2 linked regions of the Sus scrofa genome follow. The protein of the gene in region 1 interacts with the protein of each later gene in a pairwise test. Links are inferred from orthologs where the notes say so. Each region holds a gene or a part of one and is shown in the gene's direction. Other genes may lie near its edges.

Region 1 (3,826 bases):
ATTAACCCACTGAGCAAGGGCAGGGACCGAACCCGCAACCTCACGGTTCCTAGTTGGATTCGCTAACCACTGCGCCACGACGGGAACTCCTCTGTTTTCTTTATTCTACTCTTCCAGAGCTTTTCCTGTCTATGATTTACCTGTTTACTTAGTCCCACTCTGTCCATTAGAAAAGTGTATATTTAGTACCTACTTTTGTGTGTGTGTGTTTTTTTTGTTTTTTTTTTTTGTCTTTTTTTTTTTTTTTTTTTTGTCTTTCTGCCTTTTCTAGGGCTGCTCCCTCGGCATATGGAGGTTCCCAGGCTAGGGGTCGAATTGGAGCTGTAGCCGCCGGCCGATGCCAGAGCCACAGCAACACCAGATCCAAGCCGCTTCTGAGACCTACACCACAGCTCACAGCAACACCAGATCCTTAACGTACTGAGCAAGGCCAGGGATCAAACCCTCAACCTCATGGTTCCTAGTCGGATTTGTTAACCACTGCGCCACGACGGGAACCCCCCCTACTTAAGTGTTTAGTCTACAATGAAACCAAAGATAAATACGTTGTGGTCTGTGTTTTCAAGGATCATAGGGGAAAATCATCAATCACAAGTGACTGTCGGACTTAAGAGCCTGAAGGGTCAGAAGGAGGCACGAAACTCTACAAAAGGGTGAGGGCTGCAGATCTTAGCAAGGTGTTTGCAAAGGGCTTGCTGATTACTTTCTATACAGTCCTCACAGTAAGGGCTGCTGTTATGTTCTGCAGGATTCATAGTCTTAGTATATTACCGTAGCCTGTAGTAAGTATTTGGTAAATGTCAAGTTAATAAATTTATGTTCAACCAAATCTAGATGAAATAATTACTGTGAATAGGGTAGATTAAAAAAAGGAGAAACTTAACTTTATTGGTGTACTTATGTTTGTTTCAAGCTCTGACACAGACCTTGGAGATGAGAGAAAACTTTCAAAAGCAGCTGCAGGAGATAATGTCTGCAACTTCAATAGTGAAACCCCAGGGGCAGAGGAATTCCCTTTCAAGAAGTGGTTGTAACAGTGCCTCTTCAACCCCTGACAGCACTCGCTCTGCCCGCAGCGGACGAAGTAGAGTCCTAGAGGCACTGAGGTCCGTACCTGTCACTGATGGCAGAATAGCTTTTCTTTCCTCCTGGCCTTCCTAGCTTTTCCTCCTTCCTTCCCTTGTTCCGAGCAGTTCTAGCATTCTTACTGGAGAACAGGAAGCAGAGGTTTGTTCCATATCAAGCACCTGCTTCCAATAAGGCATGATTAATGCATTTTATTACCTCCTCTGAGAAAGAAGTGATTTTAAGATCTAGTTTGTCTTGTTTGAATTGGATTCAATGGACAGTCCTGTTAGTTTTGGAGTTAAGTAATTTTAATTTTTAACAGTAAGTACATATATATGTATGTATTTAAGCAGTGATTTCTTATTGGAACTACATGCATCTTTGTAAATGTCTTTATAAATCTTCTTTATAAACATATCTTCTAGGGAAGGTGATTACAGATCTTAGTGTGATGTGACTTAAGTTCCATAACATGAATTCATCTTTTTCATCTTTTCCTTGATAGAAAAATCTCTAATTGTATGATGAGTGTTATGGTACTCATATCTTGATTAGCTGAACTATGCATTTATCTTACATTAACTTGTATTTCATGAGGCTATTTCTTTATCTGAGTACTCAGCAAAAATGGTTCTCTGTTTAATATACTTCAGGTCTTTTTTATCAGAGAGAGCCTAGATTTTTTTGTCAAGTCTGAATAAATAAATATACTCTGAGAATAAAGAGCCATCTTCCTGGTATTTGAGGCAAATGAACTCTTTGGGAGTGCCATCAGCTTTGGCGAATTATTTTTCTAAGATTCCATATATGTTTATACATGGGAATATTCAGTATATACACATTGAGGGAAAATAGTTGGAATTCTGTCACCTTTCCAGTGGAATTGTTACGTGACACCATAAAATACACTTCACTCTAGTCCACTGTATAGCTGGTCTACCTTAGGTTCTGGGAGGTTTGGTTACCAGTAGCCAAAAGGACGTGGTTTTTTTTTTAAGGCAGCCTATAAACACTGTGCTTCCCATGTAATTATATTTCTTAATTATTTCAAGTGATAAAAATACAACTACTGGGAGTTCCATTGGGTTAAGGATCACTGCTATGGCTCTGATTACTGCCATGGCACAGGTTTGATCCCTGACTGGGGAACATCCATATGCCTCAGGCATGGCCAAAAAAAGAATACAAATATTAACTGGTAAGTAAAGTGATGAGGTTTCTAAATATTACCATGTTTCCCCAAGGCTATATAATCAAGAGAAATCTTTTTGCTTTTTAGGGCTGCACCCGTGGCATATGGAAATTCCCAGGCTTGGGGTCAAATCAGATCTACAGCTGCCAGCCTACACCACAGCCACAGCCACACCAGCTCAGAGCCTCGTCTGTGACCTACACCACAGCTCACAGCAACACCAGATCCTTTACCCACTGAGCAAGACCAGGGATTGAACCCACATCCTCATGGATACTAGTCAGATTGGTTACCGCTGAGCCACAATGGGAACTCCGAGAAATCCCTTTTTTTTTTTTTTTGTCTTTTTTGCCTTTTTTTTAAGGGCCGCACCCTCGACATGTGGAGGTTCCCAGGCCAGGGGTCTAATTGGAGCTGTAGCCGCCGGCCTACACCAGAACCATAGCAACCTGTGATCTGAGCTGAGTCTGCCACCTATGCCACAGCTCATGGCAACGCCAGATTACCAACCCACTGAGCGAGGGCAGGGATCGAACCCGAAACCTCATGGTTCCTAGTCGGATTCGTTAACCACTGAGCCACAACGGCAACTCCCAGAAATCCTTTTTTTAAATGCAGCAATCATTTTAGAATTTTTTTCACCTTTCTTTAACACTTTTAAGTGTATGCATGTTCAGTCCAAATAATGTGTTTCATAAGTATTTTCAAATGTTTACTGTGTGTTAGATGATGGACATATAAAGGTGAGCTACCAATTTACAATCTAACTTAGGGAATTTATGAGCGGATTTTGTTATGGCTATCTGTTTATTAAATTTTCACTTTTATTCCTTAGGCAGTCTCGTCAAACAGTACCTGATATCAACACTGAGCCCTCCCAAAATGAACAGATCATTTGGGATGACCCTACAGCCAGGGAAGAGAGAGCAAGACTTGCCAGCAATTTGCAGTGGCCTAGCTGTCCCACACAATACTCTGAGCTTCAGGTTGACGTTAAAAAACTGGAGGATTCTCCTTTCCAGGAGCCTTTACATGATTCAGAAATTGCTGCACAGGGTAATGAGAAAGGAGTCTATTTATTTGTTTGTGTTAGGTAATGCTAACTCCTTAAAAATAGATAAGCACCTTGTGGTTCTCTGAATTGTACATGCAAACAAAAAACTCGCTAGATGTTTCTGATTTGAGTTTAAATTTAAAAAGTCAGAAAAATAATTGTAAATTGAGGTAATTTATCAGTAAACTGAAAAATATATTTTGATTCTTATATTGTGAAATCTAGGATTAGGCATTTTTCCCCCCATTTTTCCAGTGCCTTTTGTATTTGTATAGTTAATACTTGGTTTTTCTCCTGTTTTCATCTGTTGTCTTCTAAATTCCACTGAGCACATACCTACAAAATTTGTTGTTTGGAGTTGTATGAGTTTCTTTATGAATTCCTTATTTTTTCTTTCTTGGACTCTACCTTGAAAAGAAAATGCTTCTTATCTGTTATTTAGGTCATCTTCCCCCACCCCTTCTCTTTCATATCATATGATTATTTCCCTATACTAAATGTATAGATTTATC
Region 2 (3,826 bases), about 76 Mb from region 1:
TTTTTCTGTTAACAACTTACTATAAAATTGAGTCAAACTGATATTATGTCAATAATTTTTTTTTTCAGAATAGATGATTTGGGCCTAAGTACTAATGTAAAATACTTACTGACATGAAGGAGTTATACTTTAAGTATAGTTGTTTCATTCACTACATTAAAATTTTTTATTGAATTAATTTGAATTTTACCTTTTTTTAACTTTAATTTGGAAATGACTAGCCATTTTTATAGCCCAATTTTCTTTTAAATGGTAGCTAGAAAAATAAAACAATAATTCAGAACATCAGTCAGTTGTGAATGCTGTTTAATCAAGTATTAAATATTAATTTAATCAAAAATATTTGACATGCATTTAGTAGGCACCAAAAGCATTCAAAAATCTTTGCCAGATTTTTTAAGCTAACATTAATATTGATTTTATAGATAATTGTAATGAAGTAAAGGCTAGTAAATATGTTCAAACATCAGGTAGAAAGACTTTAGAACTTGCCTAGAATTATGTAATGATTTAGATCTGTTTACTCACCTTACTCTAAAAGACCTAACATTATCCTTTCTGCTTTTTATTTTTTGGTTTCTGATTTGCTTAGGATCCTCGCCTGATTACTCCTTTGGCTTTTGCTTTAACATCAGATAATAGAGAACAAGTACAGTCTGGATTGGGAATATTATTGGAAGCTGCTCCACTGCCAGATTTTCCGGCCTTAGTGTGAGTTATAGTCAGTGGCAATGTATCTCTTGTGGTGCTGGAGTGTTTGCTGTGTTTCCCTAATAGTCTTCAGCAGAGAGAGATTGGAAAATCAGTGAATTGAAGACTTCATTGTAATAATAATTTTTCAAGTGAAAAAAAATTTCAATTTAAAAAGTTTGATTCCAACAACTCAAAAGACCACATGTAAAGTCTTTTAGGGAATAGCTAGATCCATCCAAGTGATTAAATATGTTATCCAGATGTTACACCTCTCTGTCTGAACACCTCTCTTATTGTTGTAGCTTCCAGACTAATCGTAATCCTGCCAGTTTAGTTTCTCCATAGAAAGTGCTTTTCTTTCCCAATTGTTTAAGTGATAAGTCTAGTGATAAGTCTAGCATCATTCCCATTGACCAGATCTGGGTCATTTGCCAAGGAAGGGATTCCTAAAGAAAATGTTCTTATTATCTGAAGGTGGAATAAATAATAGTCAAGCAGAATTGTCTGCTATACTCATTTTCAAACATTAAGAAAATATTTGCAGTTAGGTTTGAAAAAAATTCAGATTTGGAGCTCTCTGTAAACTGAAAGGTTGACAAAATGTCTAGTAGTGTTCCGCTCTAATTTTAATAAGATTAGGTGGTTTATATAAATGAAATTGCAAAGGTGGTTTGAATGAATTGAGACAGTTGGTAAGTCAGTAAGACATTTGTTCATGTCAGGTCAGCAAACTCTAGACAGCAGACAGGAGCTTGTTTTTGTAAATAAAATTTTATTGGAACAAAACCATACCCATTCATTTATTTTCTTTTTCTTTTTTTTGAAGGGAGTGTGAATGTGTTTTTTTAATGATTTTTATTTTCTCCATTATAGCTGGTTTACAGTGTTCTGGCAATTTCTACTGTACAGCAAAGTGACCCAGTCATACATATATATGTATTCTTTTTCTCACACTATCCCCATTTCATTTTGTCTGTATTGTGTATGTTTACATTCATGCTACAACATTAGGGCTGGTTAGTCGTAACAAAGACTATGGACCCTCAAGCCTAAAATACTTAACTGCCCTGTCCTTTAAGAAAAAGTTTGCCAATCTTTGCTACTTCTATTAACTGAGCAGACTCATTTAAGTAATCATAAATTAAGGGATGAAGAACTGTGGAAAACATGACCTAGAGACCATGAATTGCAATTCCCTTCATTTTATCATATTTTTTAACAAGCGAATGGACAAATAGTGTGTTTCTCAAAGCAAAATAGGAGTCTGTGAAGCTGTTTCATTTTGTGGTAGCTTGCTTGCATCTACTGTGGAAATCTGACATGAAGCAAAATCCCCAGGTGTCAGAGTGGAAAGCTTCAGCTTTGCTGAAGTGGGAGTCTTATCATGTGTCTCTCTGTCTTTGCCATCCCCTCCCCATCATAACTTGTGTTGTGTTATTTTCTCTTTGCACACTATCTCAGATATCCATTTATGTCTATTATGTCCATTTATGCCTCAGTTTATATTATCCTAGTTTAATAATGTGAATTTATATACTGGATGGGTGGGTAGGTAGGTGCATAGCTAGGTTTATTTTGGAGTTTGTTTTTTAAACATTTAACAAATGTTTAAATAACTGGTGAGTCCCAGCTATGTGCCAGGCTCTCTTCTAGGCATTTTGAATATTGCAGTAAATTAGACAGGCGGCCTTCTGTCATGAGATTTGCATTCTAGTTGAGAGACAGGTTTTTTAAAAAATAAGGTTTATAATGCACTTGTTACTAGGGTTGGAAGGCCCTGAGGAAGTGAATCTAAACTGAGACTTGATGATAAGGATTATGCTATGCAGATTTAGAGGGAAGAGTGTTCTAGGCAAATGAACAACTTGTACAAAGGCCCTGAGGCAGAAACAAGATGGTAAAAATGAAGGTCAGGTTGGTGAGACCATCCTGAGTGAGAAAAGAAAAGGGTGAAAGAAAAGGTCAGACCAAGTGATGTTGCCCATGGTAAGAAAGACACCAATAACTTTGTATTTAATTTTTTTATAAATAATCTACCCTCATAAACTAGTTCTAGTGCCTCCAAACCAGAGGTGGAATTGTCATTGTAAAGGGTTGTTAGTACAAAAGAGTTTCCTCTGGCAAATTTAGGATATTTCCCCAAATCCTGCTTCATCATAGATTCCAAGATTATTTCAGAAATATTTGAAGACTTATATTCCCAAAAAAGACCCATTCTAAATTATGGGTCCCATCATTAGTTAGTCCCTGTACTAACTCTGCCTTTTGCTCTATTTTTATATAATTATTTCTCTCTCTCTTTTTTTTTTGATTTTAATTCCAATTCAGACTTGGAGAAAGTATAGCAGCAAACAATGCCTATAGGCAACAGGAAACAGAACATATGCCCAGAAGAATGCCTTTGCAATCATTAAATCACAGTTTTCCAGCATCAGTAAAATGTTTAACTCCTCCAGTTTTGAAAGATAGAGTTCCTGGATTGAACATTGAGGAATTAATAGAGAAACTTCAGTCTGGAGTTGTGGTGAGTGATAGATAGCCATTATAAATGAGATTCTGCCTGGTACATACCAACTAAATATCAGCCCTTATTATAACATTTATTTAAATAAATTTAGATGCAGATTTGATCACTGAAACTTGATCTTTTAATATCAAAAGTAACAATATTCTGTAAAGTTTGAAAAGAGCAAAAAAATCTATCATAAAATTCCAACATTTTAACATAGCAATCCATCTTCCAAGCCTATGCTCCCACCACCATCGCATGGCCCCCAGCTTAAAAAATATACTTTCAAATTCCCACAGACATGTTAGATCTTACCCAAATCTTCTTGTGCAATAGCCAGGTTAGTGAGTGACCTACCTAATATGACATTCATTTTTTTTCTTTGTTACAAATTAAGTTTTAATGATTTAGTTACACAGTAGGCATTTATTTTTTGTTGTTGTTGAGTGTTAACTATTTCTGATTTTTTCCTGTATTGTGTTAAAACCCAGGTAAAGGATCAGATTAATGATGTGAGAATATCTGACATAATGGATGTGTATGAGATGAAATTATCCACATTAGCCGTGAGTTCATGCTTATTTTAATTATGTGTAACTGATGAAGCTTTAAGAGATGTTTTCT

Evidence for each region.
Region 2: the proteins of TOPBP1 (region 1) and KIAA1524 interact in a two-hybrid assay, tested with the Homo sapiens proteins (2 studies listed by BioGRID). The link is inferred for Sus scrofa from reciprocal best matches to the Homo sapiens genes TOPBP1 and CIP2A.

Annotation. Positions count from the first base shown.
Region 1 is NC_010455.5:74,790,573-74,794,398, reverse strand, and holds part of TOPBP1 (DNA topoisomerase 2-binding protein 1), read left to right. Parts: intron 1-913; coding exon 914-1,106; intron 1,107-3,095; coding exon 3,096-3,316; intron 3,317-3,826. UniProt on the Homo sapiens protein: Scaffold protein that acts as a key protein-protein adapter in DNA replication and DNA repair. Composed of multiple BRCT domains, which specifically recognize and bind phosphorylated proteins, bringing proteins together into functional combinations.
Region 2 is NC_010455.5:150,951,017-150,954,842, forward strand, and holds part of KIAA1524 (protein CIP2A), read left to right. Parts: intron 1-592; coding exon 593-711; intron 712-3,021; coding exon 3,022-3,217; intron 3,218-3,693; coding exon 3,694-3,768; intron 3,769-3,826.